2 linked regions of the Schizosaccharomyces pombe genome follow. The protein of the gene in region 1 purifies or fractionates together with the protein of each later gene. This does not show direct contact. Each region holds a gene or a part of one and is shown on either strand. Other genes may lie near its edges.

The links.
Region 2: the proteins of eti1 (region 1) and exo2 purify together in Schizosaccharomyces pombe (affinity purification with western blotting; one study listed by BioGRID). This does not show direct contact.

Annotation. Positions count from the first base shown.
Region 1 is NC_003424.3:329,040-334,587, forward strand, and holds eti1 (protein eti1), read right to left. Parts: upstream 3,770-5,548; 5' UTR 3,705-3,769; coding exon 771-3,704; downstream 1-770. Other genes in the region: WD-repeat family protein wdr21, read right to left, coding at 1-445; nce101 (non-classical export protein 1), read left to right, coding at 4,175-4,200, 4,252-4,402; mrpl6 (mitochondrial 54S ribosomal protein uL6m), read right to left, coding at 4,656-5,297.
Region 2 is NC_003424.3:1,776,390-1,783,240, forward strand, and holds exo2 (exonuclease II Exo2), read left to right. Parts: upstream 1-2,100; 5' UTR 2,101-2,159; coding exon 2,160-2,174; exon of another isoform or gene 2,175-2,212; coding exon 2,213-2,280; exon of another isoform or gene 2,281-2,320; intron 2,321-2,330; coding exon 2,331-6,234; 3' UTR 6,235-6,351; downstream 6,352-6,851. Other genes in the region: fol2 (GTP cyclohydrolase), read left to right, coding at 111-219, 273-568, 680-982; gus1 (glutamate-tRNA ligase), read right to left, coding at 6,546-6,851. UniProt on the Schizosaccharomyces pombe protein: Multifunctional protein that exhibits several independent functions at different levels of the cellular processes. 5'-3' exonuclease component of the nonsense-mediated mRNA decay (NMD) which is a highly conserved mRNA degradation pathway, an RNA surveillance system whose role is to identify and rid cells of mRNA with premature termination codons and thus prevents accumulation of potentially harmful truncated proteins.

The sequences.
Region 1 (5,548 bases):
AAGTATATTTTTCATTTGCAACTCCAGATTTGTCTTCAGGGGTAAGACAACACCCCAATATGTCGCCGTTTTTGGAAGTTAAAATTATGGTATTAACTTCGCGAAGCCAACCTATTTTTTGCAGCTCAGTCCCAACTGGAAGCTGCCGAAGATTTATTTTTTTTAGGTTTTTTGCACATAAATAATCTCTGTCATCATTACAAGAATAAGGATATTGTGAAAACTGTCTATCAAAAAGATAAGTTGAAAAGTTGAAAACGGGATTGCCTCCTTTTCCTTTGGTTCGTTCTTTACTGATATTATTAAAACGCTTCCCCCTTTTCAACCTCTCCTTAGTATAAATATTAGAGGACGGAGTAGACTGCCCCGAGCTAATTATTCGAAAGTAACGCTTTTTTTCAGAATTGTAATAATAACCGGGAATATGAAATGGTAGTCCGCTCATAACCCAGGGATTGATGGTAAGCAAAAGAAATTAAAAACAAAAAAGGTTTTGTTAAAATGTTGTCGTTATACCATTTCTCTGTTGTATGTAGCCAAATACTTAGGTATTCAAAAGACAACACAACTATATAAATTAATAAAAAAAAGCACCAGTGTGCGGCAAACGGTATAATAAGGTAACACGATAAAATTCCTTATTTGTTAACTTATAGTTAATAGCTTAAATGCCCCCTATAAGGAAAAAATGCCGTAAAAGACAAAATTACTAGTGCTTGCAGCTAAGCTTATTGTCGCTCATAAGCTAGTTTCAGAGATTCCTCCATTTTCTATGTATTGAGAAAAATATCGACTTCTCTTAACAGTGCTTGGAGCGTCGTAATTAAAAATTCGTGCTTCGACTTCTGTATACTAGAGTTACCAATTAGCACAAATTCCCTCACGTTTTTAAGAACAATGCGCACAACGGAGGAGAACAGCTCAGGAGTTAATGTGCCGCTGTTGTTAAATACTGATAATGTCATAGTCCGAAGACGTGAAGTAGCTCGCGATAATAGTTGAAGACGAGAAAATGATAGCTGTTCCTCTTTTATGATTAACTTGGAAAGAACATGAATAAATGCTAAAAGATGAATTGAAGAACAATCATCTAGTGAATAATCAGGCACATCTTGTAATGACCGGAATGCTTCAATAGAGGGATCCTTCGTGAAGCAAATTAACGCCTCTTTATTCTTAGAAATGCGAACCAATTCCAAAACTTTTTTCGATACTGCAAATGACTCAGATTCTTCAAAATTAGAAGAGGATGTTGGACTTTGATCGCTAGTTTCTAATCGCTCAATCATTAAGAGTTTTTCAAGCTTTTGGTTAATGTTTCCTATGCGGTTTGAAAAATCGCACAACTGCCTATTACTGCTTCTATAAGTGGATGTTAAGTTTTCCAAGTCGTTTGCCAAAAATCCAGTTTCTAGGAATCCTACCTCAAGAAGAAAAGGTTTTGAATGTATCAATTTGAAAAGATCAGAAATTTCATCGGTTGCAGCTTCTGAAATAGTCTGCTCCAACAATTTCATGTAAGAGTTCTTAACAACCAATTCCACTCGACTATGCAAGCTTTCAAATTTTGCGTGGATTCTACTTTTCATGACTGAAGAGATATTTTCTCTAACCTCATTAGGATTTTGAGGAACGTATTGATTGAAGAATGGCATGGAGGGATAACAAACTGATCCCAAAGACTCTGTAAGATTTTGTGTTGTGGAATCATCCTTAGATTTTGCACAATTTTTTAAATCTTGACTCAAAGCCCTTAGCGTGTTATTAGACTTTAATCCCGAAGTTAATGATGCCCTAGCTAAAATTCGCTTGTCAGAATTAGGATATTCCAAAGAAGTGCCCTCGTCAAATTTGGAATCGCTTTCTATGCAGAACTGAAAATATCCAGAACTTAGTGCCAAAATTAGTTCAAGTTTGGAACTATCACAGCCAATTAAGGTGACAAAAACAATGCTATGATCCACCACCTCATTCGATATTACTTTATTAATATAACCAGAATCTCCAAAACGCTTGCCTTTGGAAACAGCAGAGATCAAAGCTGCAGTGTTAGATAATACACCCACATTGGATAAATCAGAAGGTGAATAAATAAAGATATCCAAAAGCTGATTCCTTTTTGCAACAATCATGTTTGAATTATTGAAAGTAAGTAATTGCTGAATAGGTGATTTCTCTTTTTCATTTGAAAACTCAATTTCTTGAGTAAAAGCACATAACCCAAAATCAAATAAACCTAATATAGTATTATTAGCATAGGAGACACAAATAACTTTATCAATGATATCATTATTGTTCGGTGGAGATGAAAGAAAAGAAATAGAATTTGCTGTACTCGGAAGCTGAAGGCTCATTGTCGCGATAGCCGCCCAGTTACCTCGGTGTGAAGGATTAGTAGAAAATAAATTAGAAACTGGAAATGAATAGAAAAAAATTTGAGAATTCACTAATATTGCAACAACAGAACGGTCAGAAGAGATGGTGTATGAGTTAATCGGCCCAGGTAAATCAACCTTGGCAGCTTGTAATCCATTAAAATCTTTTGCATAAACTTTAGGGCTAATATTATTGGAACGAATATTTGATATATCCACAATATATAAAGAATTCTTTACAATCATAGAAAACATATTTGAAGAATTAGGAATCCAATCACAAATACCATAATTGGCACGACGGATGGTAAACAAAAGTGAAACTGAAATTTCAGATCGCTTCTGTAAAATTTTCCAAACATACAGATTAGAGAGAGCGTCCATTACCAAAAGATGGGGCTTTGTATGCTTATTTTTGCCAAAATGTAGATTTTTAACATCAGATTGCGTATAAAGTATGAGCGATTGATCGGTATTGGCGTTCAGTACGCGAATATGGCAAGGATCCTGATCCACGTATGCAAAATATTCAGAAAATTTATCAATAACTTGTGAGTTAGCATAAAATGTACTATAAGGAAGATCACAAGATGCTATTTTATTGCAATCTTCTAAAAGCAAAGGAGATGCAACGAATGAAGCCGGAAAAGAAAAAACTCGACCCAAAGAGGGTTCAATACAGTAAACATCATGAGGCACATCAGGTGCGGGTGTTAAAATTTTCTTTTGCTCATCCTTCAATAGTTGAGTATGCATTTCAGAAGACGTTGAGGATTTGGTTGATGGAACTTCATCACCAGAATTTGGCTTCAATGAATTGACTGATTGTCCAGGAGAAAATTCTCGATAATCAGCGACAGTTCGAAATTCTTGATATTTAGTGGTTGACGATTTATTTTTCCCCTGGTCAACCCTTTCATGAAAGGCTTTATCATGCTGCGAACTGCTATTTGAAGACAAATCCTTTTCTTTCATTGAAGGAGGCTTCTCCGTATCTCTAGATTTGCCATTTTGTTGCAATGGACTTGTGGCTTCTAAAAACTCGAACGGGTTAAAATGATGAAAGAATGGCTTGCGAGTTTGTTCATAGGAACTGCTTTGGGGAATTTCATCACTAGATAAGTTTGAAAAATTATCTCGAACATCGAGAGAATCTTGATATAAATCTTTATTGTCTGAACGACTTACTAAGTCAAGTAGAATGCTATCATCAGGAGTTCCATGGTTCATTGAGGATTCCGATAATGCCGAAAAAAAAAGTTCATTACTTTCGTCAACGAACGATCCGAGATTTGTTTCATTAATTGATTTTTCTTTATAAAATGACATATTAACAACGATGGTTGTTTATGTAGTGCGCTTTGTTTGCACTCTACATGTACTGGGCTTTTGTTAGTGGGCAAGTTCGAATTTTCGCTAATATTAAAAATAAGGAGGAAGCAATTTAGGGAAATACATTCGTCAAACTTCATCTTAGAATTTAATACTCACATTTTTATTAAGTTTCTCAAAAGAATGTGAGAATGCAACTATTAATTATTTAAGAAACAGAAACATAAATAAAAGCATTCTCAAATTTTTAATAAAAAGCGAGCTTTAAATTTGACAAAATGACTCTAATATCAGTTTATTACTACGATAAAAAGGATGTATGATGGATATATCTAGGTATTTGCTCAATGCGGCCCATATACTTCATTAGGCTACTACATATTTCCAACCTTACAGTCTCACTACTACTATTGATTAAAAGTAATCAGCTAGCCACGTAAAAGAGAAGAAGTCATTTCAAAAAGAAGATGTCTCAACCCTATTTAATTTCTAAGTAAGATTGTAAGAAGACTCGGTTCATTATATTAACATGTTACTTAAACAGATGGATGGATCCTTTGTTTGGAATCTTCGTCGGTACTTATGGTTATTATTTGTATGAAAAAGAGCATCGTCCCCGAGGAAGAAGCTTACGAGAACTTGCATTGCGTAAATGGAATAAACAGGCAGTTTCACAACAATCCATGAAAAACTGAGGTCAGACATTCCGTAAAGGACTGTTCTAGGAGGCAAAGGGTGTCGAGCGAATGATGATTTTATATTTTTATTCATTGAATAACATTTCCTTTTGTACGTTTATACGCTACTAACAGTCTGTGACAATTTTTACTGCAATGTGATTTAATAAGTGTTTGTAAGAAATGAGTTTGTATAGTGAATTTGCACAAGGTGTATGCCAGATGGAAAATTGAAATATGAGAATGTACTGCATAATGAAATCCAAAGAACTCATGATATGCTCCGTTTAGCTTTTAACTGCGGTTTTTCCCCATCAACATAAATCCCCTTCCCTTTATACGGCTCGGGCTTTTTAAACGATCGAATTTTTGCTGCAAACTGTGTGACTTTTTGTCGATCAATTCCACGAAGTACCAAGCTGGTTGGCGTTGGATTCTCAACTTGTACATCAGTAGGGATAGAGACCAAAATGTCGTTTGCATAACCTATTTTTAAATGAATATTTCCATCGTTTAGAGAAGTCCGATACCCGATACCAACCAATTTGATAATAGATTGCCAGTACATAGTTACTCCCTTTACATTATTAGCTAGGATAGCCCTAGTAGTGCCCCACATTGCACGTTGCTTTTTAGTAGCTTGCTTTTCTATATTGGCATCCATTCCTACTTTTAGGATGTCATTAGTTTTCGAGAGATTGAGATAATTTGGAAATCTCATGTTAAGTGTTCCATGAGGTCCAGTAATCTGTAGTTGTTCCCCCTCCAAATCAAACTGGATATTTTTTGGAACAATGATTTCTTTTTTTCCAACGTATGATCTAGCAGCTGAACATGTCGTGAAGTTCATACCAAGACGAGCAATTCGAAAAGTTAAGGGCCTTGTTTTCAAGCAACTATCAATAGAAAACATAATTTTATAAATCAAAATAATTCAGTTTTCAAATATATTAGTAAAGGATGCTAGAAAAATTGACTTCGAAATTCGCTAATATCAAATTCTAATAAAAACACGTATTCTTTCTATTCGATTTTTTTTTTTGTGAGATAGCTTAAAATAAATTGTTCCTATTATTAGGGATTAAGACTGCCAAAAGTGTTTGCGGATTTTTAAAGTCAATGTTTGACGATGTGGATACTTAGTAGGTTCATCATGTAGGGTGG
Region 2 (6,851 bases), 1.4 Mb from region 1:
TTGCATGAACCAAGATGTGTGACAGTATTTTTGTCGGTTAGCGTAAAACATTTGCAGCGGTTTACTTATCCATTGCAATCTTAATTTCATTTATTAAAAATTTATTTCTCATGGAGCCTGGAAAAAAGGATTATATAGATTCTCCTTTGAGGATGCAACCAGCCTCACTTTCTGGCGCATCTACACCAACTATTGATTTAGACGGGCTTTCTTGGCCTTGTAAGTAATGAAAGCATATTTTATACTCATTTAAGTATTCTAATACCAATTAGGTCAAGGAACACAACGTAGAATAGATACTGCTGAGGAAGAAAAAGTAAAAAAAATTTCCAATGCTATTTCAACAATTTTGGAATGTTTGGGAGAAGATCCTGAGAGACAAGGCCTTTTGGGAACACCTGAGAGGTATGCCAAGGCAATGCTTTACTTTACCAAAGGATACGAGCAAAATTTGACCGAAGTGATCAATGAGGCAGTATTTCAAGAAGATCACGAAGAAATGGTCATTGTTAGAGATATTGATGTATTCAGTTTGTGCGAGCATCATTTGGTTCCTTTTATTGGAAAAGTAGGTTTCATTTAGAAGTGGATTTTATCCATTGCATTCACGTGATTGGGCTATGCAATTATGTTTAACCCTCTTTCACAAACTCAGCGTATTAAACTAACATTATTGTAGATTCATATTGGTTATATTCCTCGTAAGCGTGTATTGGGACTTTCAAAGCTCGCACGTATAGCCAATATGTTTTCGCGTCGCCTACAGGTGCAGGAGCGTCTTACCAAACAAGTTGCCCAAGCTATTCAAGCTGTCTTAAAACCTCAGGGAGTTGCAGTCGTTATGGAAGCTACTCATATGTGCATGGTTATGCGCGGTGTTGAAAAACCGGGTAGCAGTACTGTTACTAGTAGTCTTACTGGTATATTTCAGAGAAGCCATAAAACTAGGGAGGAGTTTTTTAGATTGATTGGAAAATTTTAATTTTGGTTTTATTTTGTTCGTTAATCGCTAGAGGTGATACCGTCCGTAAATTCCTATTACAACTAAATGGTATTATATTTTTATTTTTTTTTGCATTCCAGTTTTTGAGTTGTTAAAACAATCACTTTTTTAAATATATCAATCCTTGCATATGTTTATTTATGCATACGATTTAGCAACCAAAGATTTTAAAAGCAGTCGAAAGTTCTCTCTCTATTACTCTTTAAAAATATGAATGCCCTTCTTCAGTTGTTTTTCACGAATTTTTTTTTTTTTTTTTTTGATATCTTAGTATTATGAGAAGAAATTCGAACACATGGTCGTTTTTCATATGGCTTATTTTATTTTCTTGAAAATTGACCGGAGCTATTTCACTCCACCTTACTATTATTAGCCTCAACGTGCTAAGGAAGACGTTATCCTAATGGAAAACTACTATTTAAGTTTTCTTTTTGAACGTTGTTTCGAATCACTTTTTTGGTTACATGGTAAATTAGTCCATGTTATTATATACATATATGAAGTTTCAACAATTTTATTAATTATTTACTAAGTTTTGCTGTGTAAGACTTTCAATTTGCAAGAGCTCAATTAATAGTTTATCATCAAATATATTATGAATGAATAATCTTTGTACCGTAATCGATAAGTATTGCAAGCAACTTACAGTGATTGTATTGATATACCCTAGACACATTATTATAAAGGTAAATGTCTCGTTAATTATAAAATTTGCCAATGTTTTTTAATCATCTACTACTGCTGCAGTTTCAATTAGTCGAAACGTATTTCTTGATAAATGTGTTTGATTTGTTTTTCAAACAACTAAACTCCTTCCTTCGCCTCAATGTTTAAGAACTTGCTCTATTTTAGACTCAGCTAGTCTCAAAGACTAACTATTTTGCCATTTGTATTTTTGTTGAAAAAAATGATAATATGATAATATCTTTACTCACAATGATATCGTTAAAAAGGCTTCTGTTAGTATGATATTAAATCAAAGAGGATCTACACATTTTCAATATTTCATGTACTATATAACTAACTCCTTAAACTTCACTAACCTGGGGCCTATCGATACGTGCAAGCACCGCATATGTTGACATTTGTTCTCTACTAACAACAATACTTTCTAAATTTATTCCTATTTAACTGTTAATGAGAAAGTTCGTTCAGTATGGGAATTCCAAAGGTTGTTATCGATATTTTGTATAAGTTTTTAACAATTAGTTTTTTCGATGGATGAGCGAAAGGTATCCGCTGTGCAGTCAGCTGATTGAAAACGATCGCATTCCCGAGTATGTCAATTTAAATCATCGTTTGAAACGTATGGAGCTAATTGAAATAGATTTGATAATCTTTATCTAGATATGAATGGTATTCTTCATAACTGTACGCATAAGAATGATGATCATTCCTCACCACCACTTCCAGAAGAGGAAATGTATATAGCCATTTTTAATTATATTGAGCATTTATTTGAAAAAATTAAACCCAAAAAGCTTCTATATATGGCAGTAGATGGATGTGCCCCACGTGCGAAAATGAATCAACAGCGCAGTCGCCGATTCAGAACTGCTAAAGATGCCCACGATGCGCGTTTAAAAGCAGAACGTAATGGGGAGGATTTTCCCGAGGAGCAATTTGACAGTAACTGTATAACGCCAGGTACAACTTTTATGGAGAGGGTTTCACGACAGTTATACTATTTTATTCACAAAAAAGTTACGAACGATTCCCAGTGGCAGAACATTGAGGTTATTTTCTCTGGCCACGATTGCCCCGGTGAGGGTGAGCATAAAATTATGGAATATATTCGAACCCAAAAGGCTCAACCTAGCTATAATCCTAACACTCGCCATTGCCTTTATGGTTTGGATGCTGATTTAATTATGCTAGGTCTTTTATCTCATGATCCACATTTTTGTCTATTACGTGAGGAGGTTACTTTTGGTCCGGCAAGTAGAAACCGTTCTAAGGAATTGGCTCACCAAAAATTTTATTTATTGCATTTAAGTTTATTAAGAGAATATCTTGAATTTGAATTTCAAGAATGCCGATCTACATTCACTTTTAAGTATGATCTCGAAAAAATCCTTGACGACTTTATTCTTTTAGCTTTTTTTGTCGGAAATGACTTCCTTCCCCATTTGCCTGGGCTTCATATTAATGAGGGTGCGTTAGCTTTGATGTTTAGTATATACAAAAAAGTTATGCCTTCTGCTGGGGGATATATTAATGAAAAGGGAGTAATCAATATGGCTAGATTGGAACTTATACTCCTCGAACTTGAGAATTTTGAGAAAGAGATATTTAAAGCTGAAGTTTCTGAGACAAAAAACAATGGGAACTCTGACAAACCATCTTTTGACTTTCTCAAATATATTACTGAATCAACAAATGATATTAAAGCCATGACAGGGGAGCAGAAAAATTATTTCTTACAGATTAAAAAGTTTTTGTCTTCTCGTGAGCCGTTCATTGATTTTAGTGCAAACATTTCTTCTGTTGATCAGCGCTTTCTACGACGTTTATGTAATGATCTTCATCTGTCATTTTCCAAAATTATAAAGGTAGACGGCACTCATCTATTAAGGATTACATTTAGAGATCTTGAATTTAATGATGAAGACGAAGATGAAATTGAGCAGGACGAAATCGAACGTGTACTTCAAAAGTATGATAACATTCCTTTGCTTAACGAAGAACAAGCTTTAAAAGAAAAAAACGTCGAAAAAGATTTTATCCAATGGAAGGATGATTATTATCGAAGCAAGGTTGGTTTTAGTTATTATGATGAAGAAGCTTTAAAAGCAATGGCTGAACGTTATGTTGAAGGTTTACAATGGGTACTTTTCTATTATTACCGTGGATGTCAGTCTTGGGGTTGGTATTACAACTACCATTTTGCACCAAAGATTTCAGATGTTTTAAAGGGCCTTGATGTAAAGATTGATTTCAAAATGGGTACACCCTTCCGTCCTTTTGAGCAGCTCATGGCCGTTTTGCCTGCAAGAAGTCAGGCATTAGTACCCCCTTGTTTCCGCGATTTAATGGTTAACAGCGAATCTCCAATTATTGATTTTTATCCAGAAAATTTTGCTTTGGATCAAAATGGAAAAACAGCTAGTTGGGAAGCTGTGGTTATAATTCCTTTTATTGACGAAACCCGTCTTATAGACGCACTAGCATCCAAGGATAAATTTTTGACTGAAGAGGAACGAAAAAGAAATTCCTTCAATGCCCCAACGGTCTTCTCTTTAGCGGAGGATTATACATCGTTTTATCCTTCTTCATTACCTTCACTTTTTCCGGATTTGGTTACCCGCTGTATTCAAAAACCTTACTCTCTACCTTCGATGGAAGGTAAAGAATATTTGGTTGGTCTTTGCCCTGGCGTTTTCTTAGGTGCTTTTGGAATGGTGGGTTTTCCTTCCTTTCACACTTTGAAGCATAAAGCAGAATTAGTGTATCATGGTATCAATGTTTTTGGTAATGAAAGCAGGAATCCCTCCGTAATCGTCAATGTTGAAGACGTCAAATCTGCTTTAACGTCGGAACAAATTGCGATGCAATATGTCGGAAAACGAATTTTTGTAGACTGGCCTTATTTACGTGAAGCATATGTGGAGAGTGCTATGGACGAAAGTTACATGTATTTAGCTTCAAACAGTACCATTGAGAAAAGGGATTTGGCAGAAATTGAAAAAAGCCAATGGGGCCGTAAATGTTCCCATAAAATTAGAGAATATAGTAAACGATTTGGCGTTCTTTTTGGTGATATTTCCTTATTGCTTCAAGTACGTCCTATCAAAGGATTGGAGTATACCAGAGAAGGTGCTCTTGTTAAGATTTTTAACGAATCTGTCCTTGAGGATTATCCAGCCCAATTAGTGGTCGAAAAGATTGCTATAGATGATCCAAGATTTACCGAGAGAGAAGCTCCGCCAGTAGAGGTGGAATATCCTCCAGGAACGAAGGCTTTTCATCTCGGAGAGTATAATTATGGGCGACCTGCACAAATTACAGGATGCAAGGACAACAAGCTCATTATTTGGTTATCAACCGCCCCTGGGTTGGATGCCCAATGGGGTCGTGTTCTTGTTAACGATAGCAAGTCAAAAGAGAAATATTATCCTTCTTATATCGTTGCGAAGTTGCTTAACATACATCCGCTACTTTTAAGTAAAATAACATCTAGCTTCTTAATTAGCAATGGTACTAAAAGAGAAAATATTGGATTAAATTTAAAATTTGATGCCAGAAATCAAAAAGTGTTAGGATTTTCCCGGAAAAGCACTAAAGGTTGGGAATTCTCGAACAAAACCGTTGCCCTTGTTAAAGAGTACATAAATACGTTCCCTCAATTATTTAATATTTTAACAACACATGCTACCAAGGATAATTTAACGGTCAAGGATTGCTTCCCTAAAGATGATACCCAACAATTGGCTGCGGTCAAACATTGGATCAAAGAGAAAGGGATTAACTCTCTTACTAGAGTATCTTTAGATGAAGATGCTTTAGACTCGGACATTATAAAGCTAATTGAGGAAAAAGCAAGCACAATTGATTCTACCTATCAGGTTCCGAAGAAAGTTTTTGGCGTCCCTCGGTATGCCTTATTAAAACCTTCACAAACACGTGGAATTTTGCATAGTCAAGAATTTGCTTTAGGCGATCGTGTTGTTTATGTTCAGGACTCTGGTAAAGTTCCAATTGCAGCATACGGAACTGTCGTGGGTATTATGTTGCATCATTTGGATGTCGTCTTTGACTTGCCTTTTATGAGCGGAACTACTCTAGATGGAAGGTGTTCGCCATATCATGGTATGCAAGTTGAAGTTTCAATGGTTTTAAACGTTACAAATCCTCAGTTCGTTGTAAATACCCGTGCCGGAAAGAATAGAAAAACCAATGTTAGTGCAAATAATGTTTCTCAAGGTACTGACTCTCGTTTGGTAACGAAACCCACTTCAACTTTTCCATCACCTCCATCCCCTCCATCTTCTAGTGTTTGGAACAAAAGAGAGCATCATCCAAAGCCTTTTTCACTACATCAAGTCCCTCCCCCTGAATCATTAATCCATAAATCGAAGAGTAAGTTTAGCAAAGGTAACCACCACTCTACCAATGGTACACAATCTATCCGCGGTAGGGGTGGAAAACGTGGTAAACCCTTAAGGTCGAAAGAACTCAATCGCAAGCACGATCACATCGTTCAGCCGATGGGCAAACTTCAGATTAACTAGCCCAATTGTATTTTAGTGGTGTGATAATAAATTTTATTAGCATAGAATTCTTTAACTTTATAGAAGGTTTTAAGACAACATTATGATATGAATGAAATTTATGTGCAAATATTTTAGTAGACTTCTATACTTTAAATCTGTAGTAAGAGAAATTTCGGTTTGAACGGTTAAACTTATAAATATTTAGTATTCGGAGTTTAGTCTCAGATACAATCAACCAAACACGACTTTACAAATCATATGGAAGAAAAATATTATAAAAACAATAGAGGTAACAAAATTTATATTACGACTGGATAATATGCTCGATTCTAATTTTTAACGCCGTAACGATTTACAGTCTTACCGTCTGGAATGTTGAAGAGAACAGCCTGCGTACCATCAAATGGAACATCAACAATGTAATAACCTTTACGCTCAACTTGAATTATATCACCCTTCTTTAAATTCTTGATTCCAACGTCAGCAAAGACGGGAGAGTGGAATTCAGTTTGAGGAGTTAGGAAGTCCTTATAGTTTTCTCCTTCTTCAAGTTTGTCCTTGGTAATAAGATAGTCAAAATCAACAAGGTCGACAGGAGTTTTGTCCTCCGTATCAGCCAACCAAGTGACTTTCTT